Linked DNA regions of Saccharomyces cerevisiae S288C. The gene in region 4 interacts genetically with the main gene of each other region. Each region holds a gene or a part of one and is shown on either strand. Other genes may lie near its edges.

What was found.
Region 1: mutations in CCA1 (region 4) and RFM1 together harm fitness more than expected from each alone (negative genetic interaction), as found in Saccharomyces cerevisiae (one large-scale study listed by BioGRID).
Region 2: mutations in CCA1 (region 4) and ECM34 together harm fitness more than expected from each alone (negative genetic interaction), as found in Saccharomyces cerevisiae (one large-scale study listed by BioGRID).
Region 3: mutations in CCA1 (region 4) and MGM101 together harm fitness more than expected from each alone (negative genetic interaction), as found in Saccharomyces cerevisiae (one large-scale study listed by BioGRID).

What each region holds. Positions count from the first base shown.
Region 1 is NC_001147.6:843,179-847,149, forward strand, and holds RFM1 (Rfm1p), read right to left. Parts: upstream 1,453-3,971; coding exon 520-1,452; downstream 1-519. Other genes in the region: uroporphyrinogen-III synthase HEM4, read left to right, coding at 1-466; FSH3 (putative serine hydrolase), read right to left, coding at 1,814-2,614; PLP2 (Plp2p), read right to left, coding at 3,091-3,951. UniProt on the Saccharomyces cerevisiae protein: Tethering factor required for histone deacetylase HST1-mediated repression. Probably involved in targeting HST1 to a subset of SUM1-regulated genes.
Region 2 is NC_001140.6:12,777-16,361, reverse strand, and holds ECM34 (Ecm34p), read right to left. Parts: upstream 1,462-3,585; coding exon 949-1,461; downstream 1-948. Other genes in the region: YHL042W (uncharacterized protein), read right to left, coding at 243-695; DFP4 (DUP240 family protein), read right to left, coding at 2,090-2,797; PXP3 (Pxp3p), read right to left, coding at 3,513-3,585. UniProt on the Saccharomyces cerevisiae protein: May be involved in cell wall organization and biogenesis.
Region 3 is NC_001142.9:699,344-702,884, reverse strand, and holds MGM101 (Mgm101p), read right to left. Parts: upstream 2,004-3,541; coding exon 1,194-2,003; downstream 1-1,193. Other genes in the region: 40S ribosomal protein eS4 RPS4A, read left to right, coding at 87-858; PMT4 (dolichyl-phosphate-mannose-protein mannosyltransferase), read left to right, coding at 2,271-3,541. UniProt on the Saccharomyces cerevisiae protein: Performs an essential function in the repair of oxidatively damaged mtDNA that is required for the maintenance of the mitochondrial genome. Binds to DNA.
Region 4 is NC_001137.3:519,836-524,578, reverse strand, and holds CCA1 (tRNA adenylyltransferase), read left to right. Parts: upstream 1-1,909; coding exon 1,910-3,550; downstream 3,551-4,743. Other genes in the region: RPH1 (Rph1p), read right to left, coding at 1-1,210; BCK2 (Bck2p), read right to left, coding at 3,808-4,743. UniProt on the Saccharomyces cerevisiae protein: Nucleotidyltransferase that catalyzes the addition and repair of the essential 3'-terminal CCA sequence in tRNAs, which is necessary for the attachment of amino acids to the 3' terminus of tRNA molecules, using CTP and ATP as substrates. tRNA 3'-terminal CCA addition is required both for tRNA processing and repair.

The DNA.
Region 1 (3,971 bases), on a different chromosome or scaffold from region 4:
CGCTGGTAATGGTTCAATCCTTGCTGATATAATTATTGATGACTTGAGTACGGATATTAAGGCATGCCCACCAAGTGAACTATTATTTCTCGTGGGTGAAATTAGAAGAGATATCATCCCAAAGAAACTCCATAGCAAGGGAATAAAAGTAAGAGAAGTGGTTACTTATAAAACTGAAGAATTAAGCGACGGTTTTAAAAGATTCATACACGCCATGAAAGAATGCGATGAGGATGAAGTATTCTCGGACTGGGTGGTAGTTTTCAGTCCCCAGGGAACGAAAGAAATTACTCAGTATTTGGGTGACAGTAACCGCCTACCAGGTTCCCATCTACGGGTTGCGTCCATCGGACCTACCACTAAAAAATATCTGGATGATAATGATGTAACCTCTGATGTGGTCAGTCCAAAACCGGACCCCAAGTCGCTATTAGATGCTATTGAATTATACCAGCGCCATAAATAATATTGATACGTCATATTTCTCTCTATTTATATTTATTTACTTCTTCAAAGAAGCTATTGGGTAGAGTCCCAATCTCTTTTGCGTATACCCGCTACACCACCTTCAAATCTAGATAATATACTTCGTATTCTTTTATTCCCGACAAGTTCATTAATCTTTATGCTCTTGAATGACGGTTTGGTCCTCATTTGCTTTTCTGGTGTATATCTTGCCTTAGGAGGGAGGATCCAATCAGACCTTCTACGTGACTCCAAAATTTTGGGTACCAAACTCTCATATAGGTCTTGGATTTTGGTCTCCCCTTCATCTCCGTCATGTCCGTCGCCTTCTTCATCTTCTTCTGACCCCAGTCTAGACTGTGAACGTCTTTTGTCTCTTTCTGATATCCTTGATGATCTCCTTCTAATACCATCCCTTTCAGTTATATCTGAAGCAATGTCAATATTTTCCACTTCTGATATTGGAATTGGAAATGGCAATTCACTTCCATTTATTTCAGAAATAGTAACATCATCATTGTTTGCATTCGCTTCACTAATTGAGGGTAAAGATGCTGGTAGACTATTTTCTCTTTGAATAGCTCGAGATCTCGTACGTCTTCTTCGACTGGCAGCACCAGTAGTTGTAGGAGTGTTCTCACCTGAATATTCTGTATCGCTGATATCAGCTGATGAGTTTGATCTAGTAGAAGAGGAGGAGGAGGATGTGTTGCGAGGGATTGGTTCGCCGACTTCTTGTGTAGAGTTCCTCTTGATTTTCTTGTAGTATATTCCATATTCTTTATTTCTTAAACTGTCAATATCCACATGGCCACTTGCAGATATTCCTTTTTTGAACGTTTTTATCAGGAAATAATCCTGATACGATTCAAACTCCAAGGGTTTAATGGATTTATTAAAGTCTTTTATTTCATTTATTAACCTCCTCTTATCATTGATTAAACTTTGCAAATCACTATTTTTTATGATTTCCGTATTTGTACTCATTCGCACTTTCTTATAACACCTTCCTGTTGTTCTAATTAAATTCTTTTAATTAAAATTAATAGTTATTTTATATGCAATGTCTTATGATCACTTCTAGCTGTCAGTGTTCCTAGGATAGTGTTCAACAGCGTTTAATATTAATATATTGAGATACTTCCGCCAGATAAAAGAAATCCTTACGTTAAATATATATCATTCGTGTGCCGCGAAAATTCTTTCTTTAGCAACAGATATAAATCAGGTATAGAAAATCAAACGTCAAAGAAGGCGGCAGAAAAGTCACACTATTCCTTTTTCTCGTCGATATTTTCAATAGTTTTATAAAAATTGTATGTAGCTCATATAAATATCAATTATCGAATTACAATTTACCCAAGGAATCGATCATATCTAACAAATCATCTTCCAATTGAGGTTTGTCAAATTGTTTCCGATCTACTTCAGGTTGGGCATTATGCTCTTGACCCTCTTTGCTAGTAATTCCTTGGATCCAATTGCAAACTTGGGATACGAATGGTTTCGAGTTTGGGACAAAATGGGCTCCAGGATGAACCAACAATGTCCTTTTGTTATCGGGCCATGACTCGTACAATGCCATGATTCTAGATTCTGCTACAACTTCATCTAACTCCCCCCTTACATGTAGAGAGGGCACCTGGATAATCCTATGATATTCTTTCTGGTAGGATTGATCTTCTAATTTGAATCCACTAAATGAAATAAAAAATTTTAAAGCGGGCTGTTGTTCATCAGTAAGATTTAATATTCTGTTAAAGTCAGTGACTAAGTAGCCCCCAAGACCTGCACCTTGGCTGAATCCAATGACACCATCAAATGGTCCATTTTCTAGCACGTAGTTACGTAAATAGTTAAACACCTTTTGATCTATTTGAAAGGAATTGAAAGATTCGGGATTTCTAAAGAACCACCCGTATACTTCATCACTAGTCGCTGAGGTGTTGAATTCCTTCGCAGCATCTCTACCCTTTTCTGACTCTGATTGGAATAACGCTTTTTTATCAATTGAATGTGGGGCGCAAGGATAGTATAAATCGTAACCTAACTTCTTCAAATTCTTTCGTAATCCTCCAGTCTTCGCAGAAAATATCTTATCGGATTGGACAAAACCATGTAGCATTAGAACTTTCTTCTTTTCACTCATAATAATAATTCTGGGGTTTGTGGTAGAATTCAGTTTGAAAATGCACCGAAGTAGAACAGATTACTTTCTGTATTACTGCATCCATAGTGTTCTTTATACGCACAACTAGAAAAAGTAAATTTCTATCCTCTGACAACAAAGCGAAAAAGTAGTAAAACTTGATACCAGACCATGCTCCATATGACGATTTAAAAGGTTTATTCTGTCAAGATGTGCCTGCTCGAACTTAATAAGGGGTTTTATTGTATCTGTATCCTAAGTATGCTTGACGGTAATTAAAGAGCTTTAATTGGTTGCCATGACAACGGCTCTTACTAAAATCCATGCTGCAGCGATGTTCAATCATACATACCGTAATCCTCGCGTAAACATTCAGAGAAGTACATGACAAAGTTTGCTGTTCTTTATATCTGTATATATTAAATAATGGGGATAGTGACACCACTTAGCCTGTAAATAAGGAATATTCGCACTATTTAGTCAAAAAATCCATCATCATCATCATTAATGTTGCCATCATCATTTCCACCTATGCCGACATTAAATTTTCCTCTAATACCTGACCTGATCGATTTTTTTTCACCGTAATGCAATTTTCTCTCTTCCCTGGATTCTTCATCGTCTCGGTTCATTATCAGTCTGTTGTCTCCTTCTGCAACAGCGCCAACTTTTACCATAAAATCTTCAAAGTCTTCCATCTTGGAATTATTACCACCCAGTTCTAGTAGCGTTATCATGTTTTTGATTACCTCACCCCGGTAATATACAATTAATGTCGGGCAATTGGATTCGGGATAGTTTTCAATTGCTCTATTGGCAGGTATTTCTACAAATTTTATTTCTCTGAATTTGCATGCAGCAGATTGGAAAAGATGAGACAGAATTCTGCTTTGTAGTTTACTTTGAAGCGAGAGATGAACGAATACGTAGACACCACCGTCATCCTCTTCACCATTGTCATTGGTTTGTGCACCTTCATATTTCTTTCCCTGACTGGCCAAAGTAACCTCTTTGTTGTATTCAGGTTTGTTAATGTGGAAAACTTCTCCAAATTTGGAACGTTCCTGTAATTTGCGGATTTCATTTAATCTTTTGATCTTGTAAGCTTCCAAGAAATCTTCATCTTCATCGTCTTCTAGTTCTTCCAAATCCGACAAGTCTTTATCTTCTAGTCTATTTTCATGCTGCTTGGCAATTGCTTCTTCTAATGCTTCTTCTAACTTTGCAGTGGGCGAAGGTGCACGTTCTGGTATTACACCCTTCGCTCTTAAAATATCGTTCCATTCACTGTCTTCAGATTCGTCCACCTGGACCTGAAACATTGGTTCATTCTGCATTATGTCTGCTGAATATGCCT
Region 2 (3,585 bases), on a different chromosome or scaffold from region 4:
AGACACTAAAGCCAACGCAGAAAGCTTGTACAATACGTGTGTTATAAACGTAAACACCTTTCTTGATGCCATATAGTCTTGTGGCCAGACCAGAAAAGGCTGCGAAGTGAAACGTCAAACTAATTATCAGGTAGTATCATAAGTCTATTACGCACTGCTGTTTATTATTATTTAGGTTAGCGCTATTAAAAACATGTCTGGCTGGCAGAATTATTTTTCAAACCAAAGGCAAACTTCAGTAGTTAAATCAATTGCTTACCAGCACAGGCAATGTCGGCTTTTCTGATATACGGCAACAATTCAGCAATTGGTAGGTCAGGATGGGAAGACTTTCTTGAGGGTAGATAACGGAGGAAATTACGTTCGAAAAAGCGCTCACAATCTGCTCCATCTAAGAAAAACACGTCTGAGCCGGAAACTTTCTGCTCAAATAAGTATACATTCATCTTCTTTGCGATTTGGTCCCAACAATTCACATCCGATTTCTGATGTTCACTGATTATAGTTGACAAAAATTGCATTCTATGTTCCACTTTCATTGAACAAGATCTATTCATTTCAAAGGAGAACCATTCCTGGGAGCAAACAAGTACGACAAAAAGGGCAAGAGTAAAAAAAAAGCCGAGATTTCTTGGAGAACGGATACTCATGACGAAGAATATAACAGTTGCTACTTGAGAAAAACGCTGTTTCATGACTTTCTTGAAAATATGAAATAATTTGAAACGACATGATTGACCAGGAAGTTTGATATTTCCAACCGAAATATTGCTTAACAATTGCTGAGAAGTATTTAAATTCCACTTTCTATCCACTTCTGCAAAATATACTTTAAGGGCTTCTTCAATATAAGGGTGTTTCCTAAAATATTCTATTTTATAGTCGCCGTCAATTCTTGAGGAAATCCATAGAAGGGTTCTCCTAAATGCTACATGGCAGCTAGAACCATCAACAAAAAAAGTATTCTGTGTTCCAAAGTTTATTTTCGTACATATAAGAGTTAAAATCCGCTGCAACACGGTCCCAGCTTTCCATATCTGTGCTTGGCGCACTTTTAATAATTTCTTTGGCAAACTGAGTGATTTGTTTCCCGAAGGTGCGTTCACGATACATTTTGAAAGCTTCCCATGAGAAAGACACTGCTAAAGATATAACTAAGATAACGATGGTCGAATGACGCCTCAAAAAACCTGGATTCCGTTTATGTTTGGTTTGGGGGCCGTCCATGTTTGAGTCAGATGGTCTTCTACCACCGATGCCTGAAAAAACCTTCCAACCAACAATGAGCGTTAAACATAACAATAACCAAATATGGAATGCTGACCTATTGATAACTTCATAGCAATACCAAGTAAAGGAACTTCTGAATACATTCTTTGGTAGTTTGGCATTGGAGGATTCAAAGACATCACAGGCTAAAGCGGCTTCGTTCTTTTCATCTTCACTTTTGCGGCCCTCCATATTTGTGATGATATCGTCCCGGTGACATTTTTTTGCAGTTACAACTTCCTTGTAGTTCTTTTATACAGCTCGTAAATTCATCTGTATCTGTAAGCTATAAAATGCCGCACAAAGTGTGCGTACATTATGCAACAACATTATTGTTGAAATACGAGAATAAGCAGAAACTGGCTCAAAAATGGACAATGCATGCTCGATGTTCGAGGTTCGACACAAAAGATGTGAAGAGAGGGCATCGAAACGTTTATATAGTCCTTACGTAGATAATTTGCAAATAATCGCTGCGCTGAACTTGGAGGACAGCTTGAACCTCCGACACAAGCCACAACTTAGAAGCTGCCATCTAGTTTTATAAAGCATTAAACTTATACAGTAAAAGTAATATTGTAACATTACATTATAATAGTGTTCCTGTTGCCATTTATAAATTTACGGAGGCAAACATCCCACAAAAATACGAGTACTTTTATTATACGAGTTTAAAGTTAAGCCACATATCCTGATACAGAAAGGAAGCTCACTTATAATCTATTCAAGAATATTCAATGACTTTTCCAAATACCAATATCATTTCTTTGTACTGGATGCGTTATAAAAAACTAAAGTAGAACCTAGAAATACCTTCCAATCAAACTGTGACCCCCATCTCTGGATACTTATCCTCCCAGTACTTGTCAACAGAGTTCCTGAAAACGGCCAATGCTTTAAAAATATAAGTGCCCAATTCGATGTGTAATGAACTATTACCAGAATCGTTAATGTTGGTTGCTCCATTACTTCTCATCTCCAGATCAGCATATATACTATTCATATTGGAATTCACAAGGTACGGGGTAGCCACCAACTTTTTAAAAACCTGATAGCAATAACTGCCATCGTAGAAAAAAGATCTATCTGCACATATACGACGGTCATATACAAATTGGTTCATGTCATATGCAATCCGGTCCCATGTGCTCAAGTCCATGTTAGGTTTATGTGTAATGACTTCCGCTAATAGTTTGAACTTACAATCATCATCTAAACATCTTAACTTATATCTTGAGCAGCTTAAGTAAGGTAAGAGGAGTAAAAGGAATAGTGAAATTGTAATTAGTAAAGCCGCTAAGATAATAATCAAAGTATTACCGTGTGCAGATAATGCCAGGCGGTTTAAGATTATGGTAATAATAATATGGATGAAAATATATGAAATGAATACGATATTCTGTTTTAAGAAATAAGCGCATTTGCTGGGGGTTATGTCCCTTGGAAGGATCACTGTCTCACCTTCGCATAATTTTCTTAATCCTTCTGGTCTTGGTTTAGAATTAGATATTAATAATTCTGAACTCATAGCCTTAGCGGGCCCTCACTTGCTTTTGAATTTGTCTTTATACCACAAGTTAACAATTACATTTTCTATATCCTTTTTATATTGTTATAATTCGGGACTTAAAAGCGGGAATATCTAGAACTGGGAGGATTGCATCATTTTTCTTGGCCCGTATGTTTTTCTTCGAGTTTTGGCCGCAAGACGAGTAAGAAGAGGACAGAAATAAGTATGTTGCATAACTTTTGTAGAATTTACCAGAAAAACTCCAATATAACTTACTTCATTATGACATATAAGCTAGATCTTGATTTCTTTCGTCAACATACTAAAGCACGCTATCGGAGACTTCTTCAAACCCTTTCTTATGAGAACACTTAGCTGACTGTACATTTAAGAAGCTTTAGAGATGAGCCGTCACCATGAATATAGCGATGGTTTTGTCTACAAGGAATACCAACTATTAATACCATTTCCTACAGAAAGTTTTTAATTGAATAAAATACATTAGCGCCATATATTGCCTTTTTCACTTTTCTTTATATCTAGCTAGAAGAAAAATACTGTGCCTCGAAGAATAAATTTTTCCCACCGCACAGAGTTGTAGTACTGCTACAAACTGAACTCAACATTTTTTTTTTACCATACGCGGCTCTTCCAATACTAGCTGCTTCTCAGCGGCCTACAATTACGTAATTGCGTCAATGAATTTCCTGAGAACGCTTAAAAACTACAAACTCTACAAATAAGCGACTCCCAATACACGTTTTCTATTTTTAATTAAACTATCAGGAGAGGGATAATATAGTATT
Region 3 (3,541 bases), on a different chromosome or scaffold from region 4:
CTAACGAGCACAATGAAAAAAATAAAATGTCTGTATCTTCATTATACATTCATTTTTGCCCTTTTTTCTCATTTTTTTCCGTACAGAAAGAAGCATCTAAAAAGATTAGCAGCTCCACACCACTGGTTATTGGACAAGTTGTCCGGTTGTTACGCCCCAAGACCATCTGCTGGTCCACACAAATTGCGTGAATCCTTGCCATTGATTGTCTTTCTAAGAAACAGATTAAAGTATGCTTTGAACGGCCGTGAAGTCAAGGCTATCTTGATGCAACGTCACGTTAAAGTGGACGGTAAGGTTAGAACCGACACTACCTACCCAGCTGGTTTCATGGATGTCATCACTCTAGATGCCACCAATGAAAACTTCAGATTGGTCTACGATGTCAAGGGTAGATTCGCTGTCCACCGTATCACCGATGAAGAAGCTTCTTACAAGTTGGGTAAGGTCAAGAAGGTTCAATTAGGTAAGAAGGGTGTTCCATACGTTGTTACCCACGATGGTAGAACTATCAGATACCCAGACCCAAACATCAAGGTCAATGACACTGTTAAGATCGACTTGGCCTCTGGTAAGATTACTGATTTCATCAAGTTCGATGCCGGTAAGTTGGTTTACGTTACTGGTGGTCGTAACTTGGGTCGTATCGGTACTATCGTTCACAAGGAAAGACACGATGGTGGTTTCGATTTAGTTCACATCAAGGACTCCTTGGACAACACTTTCGTCACTAGATTGAACAATGTCTTCGTCATCGGTGAACAAGGTAAGCCTTACATTTCTTTGCCAAAGGGTAAGGGTATCAAGTTGTCTATTGCTGAAGAACGTGACAGAAGAAGAGCTCAACAAGGTTTATAAATTTCATAACAACTTAATTATTTTCTTCTTTTGTATATCTCCATTAATGTTTATTAGAAATTGAATTTTAAAATAATACATCGTATCTTCCTTTTTCGACTGGCAGTAATATAACGTATAATATATATATTAGGTGTGTGTATATATATCCGTATTGTAATATTGATAGTAAAAATACGCTAACCCTGAAATAGAAGGCGTATGATAAGACGTACTGACACTACGCACTACCACAATATATGCGTATGTGTGTGTGTGTGTGTGTGTGTGTGTGTGTGTGATTGTATTGGAATATATATACTTACTAAAATTAGCTTATATGGTTCGCATATTGACTATTTATAAGGATATTCAACTTGTCTGTCCTTTCTTAACCAAATTTTCTTCTTTCTCTTGGTGGTAACATGTTCCACAAACTTCTCAGTACAATGATCCACTTTGAATTTCTTTATGAAAACAGGGTCCCATAATTCAGAACCGACGCCGAGATCTTTGCAACACCTCATTAATGCATTACTTTTGCAACCTTCTGTAGCAGTTGGTATGCCGGCTTCGTTGAAATAGTCTTGTTCGCCTCTTGCCACACTGATCAATTGACCATGGCAAATAAGACCGTACTCCCTAGTGACCAGCTTGGATGTCACTATTGTTTGTGATCTTGGCACTAGCCCCCAACCGCCTGCGCCAAAAGCTTTGTTCAGTATTCTACGGTATTTAATTTCAGGCAAGTATATCAAACCATCTGGCTTGATTTCTATATCCTTAGGGTCCAGAGGCTCGATTAGATCCTTTTGCACTTTTGCTTCAAAGGGCTTCATACCTAGGCCATACCATGAAGTATACCAGTCAATGTCTCCCTTGACTTGCTTATAACTATTGTTCAAAGAATCATCGGCGGTGCTGCGGGTTTCCAAAGGGGTCCCGCCGAGTTTAGAGTTAATGCCGCTTGAATATTCCTTCATGTGGCTTCCATTGCCAGCTTCCGATTTTGTTGCAAATACAGGCTTGGTTTCGGTACTGTTGAAACTTTTCCTCACTGCACCGGCTGTTGCGGTGTTACTAGTGCCGGTACTCACCACGGTTCTTTTTTGGCAAAATTGAGCAGCATGCGATACACATCCTCTAACCTTGAAAATGCTTTTCATCGTACGCTGATCTTCCTACTTGTCCTTTCTTTCCTTTTTTAGTCTCTACCGTCTTTTTAAATAGTTTCTTCCATTATTCTGTCGATAAATTTCGTGATGTTATTCGTGTATTTCTTGACAAAAAAAATAAAAAATGAAAAATATGCATAATGAAACGCGCTTTATCAAAACTACTCACTCGAATCCTTACTTCTATATTAACTGTACTAAGAAGTTTGTCGATACATATTTTACCAAGATATTTTCTGACAGTCCACAGAAGTACAGATGTCTGTGCCCAAAAAACGTAACCATGGGAAGTTACCACCTTCCACTAAGGACGTAGACGATCCTTCGTTGAAGTACACGAAGGCCGCGCCTAAATGTGAACAAGTTGCTGAACATTGGCTCTTGCAGCCACTACCGGAACCGGAATCACGTTATAGCTTTTGGGTAACAATTGTTACCTTATTAGCGTTTGCTGCTAGATTTTATAAGATCTGGTATCCAAAAGAAGTTGTTTTTGATGAGGTACATTTCGGGAAATTTGCATCGTATTACTTAGAAAGGTCTTATTTCTTTGACGTTCATCCCCCTTTTGCTAAGATGATGATTGCCTTCATTGGTTGGTTATGTGGCTATGATGGTTCCTTTAAGTTTGATGAGATTGGGTATTCTTATGAAACTCATCCAGCTCCATATATCGCGTACCGTTCTTTCAACGCGATATTGGGCACATTGACTGTACCAATTATGTTCAACACTTTGAAGGAACTGAATTTCAGGGCTATTACATGTGCGTTTGCATCTCTCTTGGTTGCAATCGATACTGCGCATGTTACAGAAACTAGGCTGATTTTACTGGATGCCATCTTGATTATTTCTATTGCTGCTACTATGTATTGTTACGTTCGTTTCTACAAGTGCCAATTGCGTCAACCTTTTACATGGAGTTGGTATATTTGGTTACACGCTACTGGTTTGTCTTTATCCTTCGTGATTTCCACAAAATATGTTGGTGTTATGACATATTCCGCTATTGGTTTTGCTGCTGTGGTCAACTTATGGCAATTACTGGACATCAAGGCGGGTTTGTCCTTGAGGCAGTTCATGAGACATTTTAGTAAAAGGCTGAATGGTTTAGTTTTGATTCCATTTGTGATTTACTTGTTTTGGTTCTGGGTTCATTTCACCGTTTTGAATACTTCAGGTCCTGGCGACGCATTTATGTCTGCTGAATTTCAAGAAACACTTAAGGACTCTCCCTTAAGTGTTGACTCTAAAACCGTCAATTATTTTGATATTATCACTATCAAACATCAAGATACTGACGCATTCTTACATTCTCACTTGGCACGTTACCCACAACGGTATGAAGATGGTCGTATCTCATCCGCTGGTCAACAAGTTACTGGTTACACGCATCCTGACTTCAACAATCAATGGGAAGTGTTACCACCCCATGGCAGTGATGTCGGTAAAGGACAAGCTGTTCTATTGAACCAGCATATAAGATTGAGACATGTAGCCACCGATACCTACTTGTTAGCCCATGATGT
Region 4 (4,743 bases):
CCATTTCTTTTAAAGTTGGCCTGTGAAGTAAGGGCATGGCAGGATTGGGTAATTGATTGAGGGGTGGCGTTCCTTTCGACTCTTTATTATTGTCCCTCCAAGATTTAGCGAGTTTCTTAACATCTATTTCCACTGAGTCTGAAATGCAGTGGCATTTTCCAGCTTTCTTCCCAATCGGTAGCCACTCCTCCAAAGCAAAGTTGACGGATTCTGCCAAGTTATATCCATAATTGAACCCTGCATGGTAACCATAGGGATAAGTGATCATGAATTCGCCTTCATGGTGGACAATTTCATTGCATCGTATGCCATTTTCCTGCAGCAGTTTGGGCGAAGCCAAAAACATTTTATGTCTTAAAAATTCAGGACAATTTTTGGCTTCTTCGGGAAATTGCTCCTGCATGAATTTGTAGAATTTGAACCTATCCTCTTGCGGTATCGAATACCACTGTTTTGGGGCACCGAAATGAATATAATTTATGGAATACAGGTCCTGATCTTCCAAGTGCCAAGAAAAAGAAGCCTTCCATAGACCAGCGTATAGATAGGAGTCATTCACCCCAGGAACCTTTGTTTCCATATGGTCCAAGATGTTCGGTAGTTTGGCAACATTCCAAACGTTCAGCCCTTCAGGAAAGATTGATCCTGGTGTATCTGCGCCGTACATAGGCGTAGTAAAATTTAGCGTTTTCCAATAATACTCTTCCAAGAACTTTAATCTCTCCGTATTTTGGAAGTCAGATAAATCTATTGTATACTCCGTCCTGAACTGTTCAAAATCATCAATATTAAAAGACGATTCAAAATTTTTCAGTTTCAACTTCGTGGATTTGGAAACGGAGCCTTTCCTAGAATTACGTCTTGCTTTAGGATCCTCCGGAGGCACATAGTCCTTAGAAAGATCTTTCCACTGTATAATGTTATAGGTCTTGTTTTTCTCCACGTTCTGCACCATAAAAAGACCTTTATTACCAGAAATATGCTGCTGAATAGGTGATTTAATCTTGATCTTTTGGAGCGTTTCCGCAGAATAAGGCAGATCTAATTTGTCTTTCCATTCTTTAGGTGGGATTACTTTCACAACACCACTTTTCATGCCATATTTGTTTATGGCCTTGCAGTATGCATAGAAATCTTCGAATTGCTCGTATGTGGGTTTGAAGACGGGCACTCCGCCCACGATTTCTGAAGGAGCGATTAGTTTCGTCATGATTTCACGCAACTGAATATCCTCACCAAGACAGTCTTATTCTTTTTTTCCCTTTTTTTTATCTGTTTATTTTTCTCCAGCAGATCTATAAAATAAGTGGTACTAATAGAAAGGTTAAGTCCCCCTATTTTAAAATAATGCTGATAGAATGATTAAATTGGCCGCTTGATGAAAACCGCAAGTAGCTACTTCAGGGACAAGCAACGCCTTCGATGCGAATATATGTTTTGCTGATAACGATCTATGTACAGCGTCTGCAATTCTCTTAAAATTATCGCCTTGCCATTGTTACTTAAGGAGTCTATGTGATTAATTGCATGGCGATGAGGTTACCCTTGAAAAATATAGAAAAGATTTTTCCGAATAAAAAGAAAGTAAAACTAAAAAAAAAAAAAAAATGGAAAAAGAAAAAGAAACGTTTAGGGGAGAGGAGGGCTGCGGTTAAGGCTTATGGGGTGTATGGGCGGGGGAAATAGGGCATACTTTCTCGATTCACCAAACCCTTAGGTCATCTGATTTTTAGGGTTGTGTTCTTGTCGTTACTCAGCCCTAAAAAACATTCGTTAGGGTTGAAAAGTTGAAAAATGAATCGCAAAAATCTACCATATTAACAATGTACTAAAGGAAACTACATAATACATCGCAACGCTTCCCTCGAGATTAATTCGTATCCGTGGGTTATAAGGGCTTTTTTTGTGTATGCTACGGTCTACTATATCTCTACTGATGAATAGTGCTGCTCAGAAAACGATGACGAATTCTAATTTTGTTCTAAATGCACCCAAAATCACCTTAACCAAAGTGGAACAGAACATCTGTAACTTGCTGAACGATTATACAGACTTGTACAATCAAAAGTACCACAATAAGCCTGAGCCATTGACTCTTCGGATCACGGGCGGATGGGTGCGTGACAAGCTTCTGGGACAAGGTTCTCACGACTTGGATATTGCCATCAATGTGATGTCAGGTGAGCAATTTGCTACTGGTTTGAACGAGTATTTGCAACAACATTACGCCAAATATGGAGCCAAGCCTCATAATATCCACAAGATTGACAAGAATCCCGAGAAATCCAAGCATCTGGAAACTGCCACTACTAAGCTCTTTGGCGTTGAAGTGGATTTTGTCAATTTAAGATCTGAAAAGTATACTGAACTTTCCAGGATACCTAAAGTGTGCTTTGGCACACCCGAGGAAGACGCTTTAAGAAGGGATGCTACATTGAACGCTCTTTTCTATAACATTCATAAAGGTGAAGTGGAAGATTTCACCAAGAGAGGTCTGCAAGATCTAAAAGATGGCGTTCTCCGTACTCCGCTTCCTGCAAAACAAACATTTTTGGATGATCCCTTGAGGGTTTTGAGGTTGATCCGTTTTGCTTCTAGATTCAACTTTACCATAGATCCGGAAGTGATGGCTGAAATGGGCGATCCTCAGATTAATGTTGCATTCAATTCAAAAATTTCTAGAGAGCGAGTTGGTGTGGAGATGGAGAAAATATTAGTAGGACCAACCCCTTTATTGGCTTTGCAGCTGATTCAAAGGGCTCATCTTGAAAATGTTATCTTTTTTTGGCATAATGATAGCTCCGTCGTAAAATTCAACGAAGAGAATTGTCAAGATATGGACAAAATTAATCATGTATACAATGATAACATACTAAACTCACACTTGAAAAGTTTTATTGAATTATATCCAATGTTTTTAGAGAAGCTTCCTATCTTAAGGGAAAAAATTGGTCGTTCGCCAGGATTTCAGCAAAATTTTATATTGAGTGCGATCCTGTCCCCCATGGCTAATTTACAAATAATCGGGAACCCAAAGAAGAAAATTAACAACCTGGTTTCGGTGACAGAAAGCATTGTGAAGGAAGGATTGAAGCTGAGTAAAAATGATGCAGCAGTTATTGCCAAGACCGTAGATTCAATATGTTCATATGAGGAAATACTTGCTAAGTTTGCAGATCGTTCCCAGCTAAAAAAATCCGAAATCGGTATATTTCTACGGAACTTTAATGGCGAATGGGAAACAGCACATTTTGCATCTCTATCAGATGCATTTTTAAAGATTCCCAAGCTTGAAACTAAAAAAATTGAATTACTTTTCCAAAATTACAATGAATTTTATTCTTACATATTTGACAATAATTTGAATAATTGTCATGAACTAAAACCAATAGTGGACGGAAAACAAATGGCAAAACTACTTCAAATGAAGCCAGGTCCATGGCTGGGTAAAATTAATAACGAAGCGATTAGGTGGCAGTTTGATAATCCTACAGGGACTGATCAAGAATTAATAACTCATTTAAAAGCCATACTACCAAAATACCTGTAGTAGCTTATTAGTATACATAAGACATGTAGAACAAGAATGCATAAATAACTTTCTGTTACCTTATTGAAAAGAAAAAAATAAAAAAAATGAAAACGAAAATGAAATAATATCTCTAGTAGTTATTCTATGGTGTATGATAACTAAACATATTTATTAGTTTTTATATACTCTATTCAAAATTTTTTACCAGTTTTTAACTTTTTCGAAAGATATCTGTTACTATTTTTGAACTTTTTTTTTTTTTTTTCATTCCTTTTTTAGTTGCTATTATCAAAATAAAAAGACTGTAAATTATTATCAATGTCGTTATTTGCAATTGGTGCTGCATTTTGATTATTTGAGTTTTCCACAGATGAGTTCGCCTGATACTGTGGAACGAAAGTATGACCATCGTAAAAATTTCTTTCACTGTTGTTTGAAACGTTTGAGCCCATCAGGTCGCCTAATGAAACAGTTGCTGAAGTATCCGGAGATATATTTCCAATGTATGTATCCGCAGACTTGGGTTCATTCATGTTGATGGCGCTGTTGCTGTTGTTATTGCTGTGGCCCATCTCACCTAGTAGCTTCGATTGCTCATGGAAAAACGACTCTGGGTTTTCAAAATCGAACTCGGTATACACTTGCAAATTAGTCTTTGTTGTATCAACATTGTTTGGTGTTGAGCCACTGTAAGAAACGCGATTTCCGGTATTATTATTGGATTCTGATCGAGAAGCGTGTTTCCATTGAGATCTAATAAAATGATCGAGGTTTGCATCACTCAATCCCAATCCCGTATTTACCAATGTATACTTATCTTGATCTTGAAAGTAGTTTCCGGTCGCGTTGCTTGTTGTAGTGGATATTGAGTTCGTCATAACAGAATCTACGATGCTGCTACTAGTTGTACTACCGTGTGGCATCAAAGAGTTAAAATCTAAACTGTCATCCTTTCTGTGAGTATCCATCCCCATAATATCCCTTCTTTGGAAGTGTGCCGTATTCGGAATATCTTGTACTAGGACATCCTCTTCTTCATTTTCTTCTAACGTGGATCTAGGTATACCTTTTAGTGCCGGTATATTCTCCATTGGAGTATTGAAAGCAGAGAATTCCCCACTAGCGTCGTTTTCGTTACTGTATTCTTTGTCAAATGAGGAAAAATTGCTAGATGGGCGATAACTTGTAACAGTACTGGTACTTGGAACAAA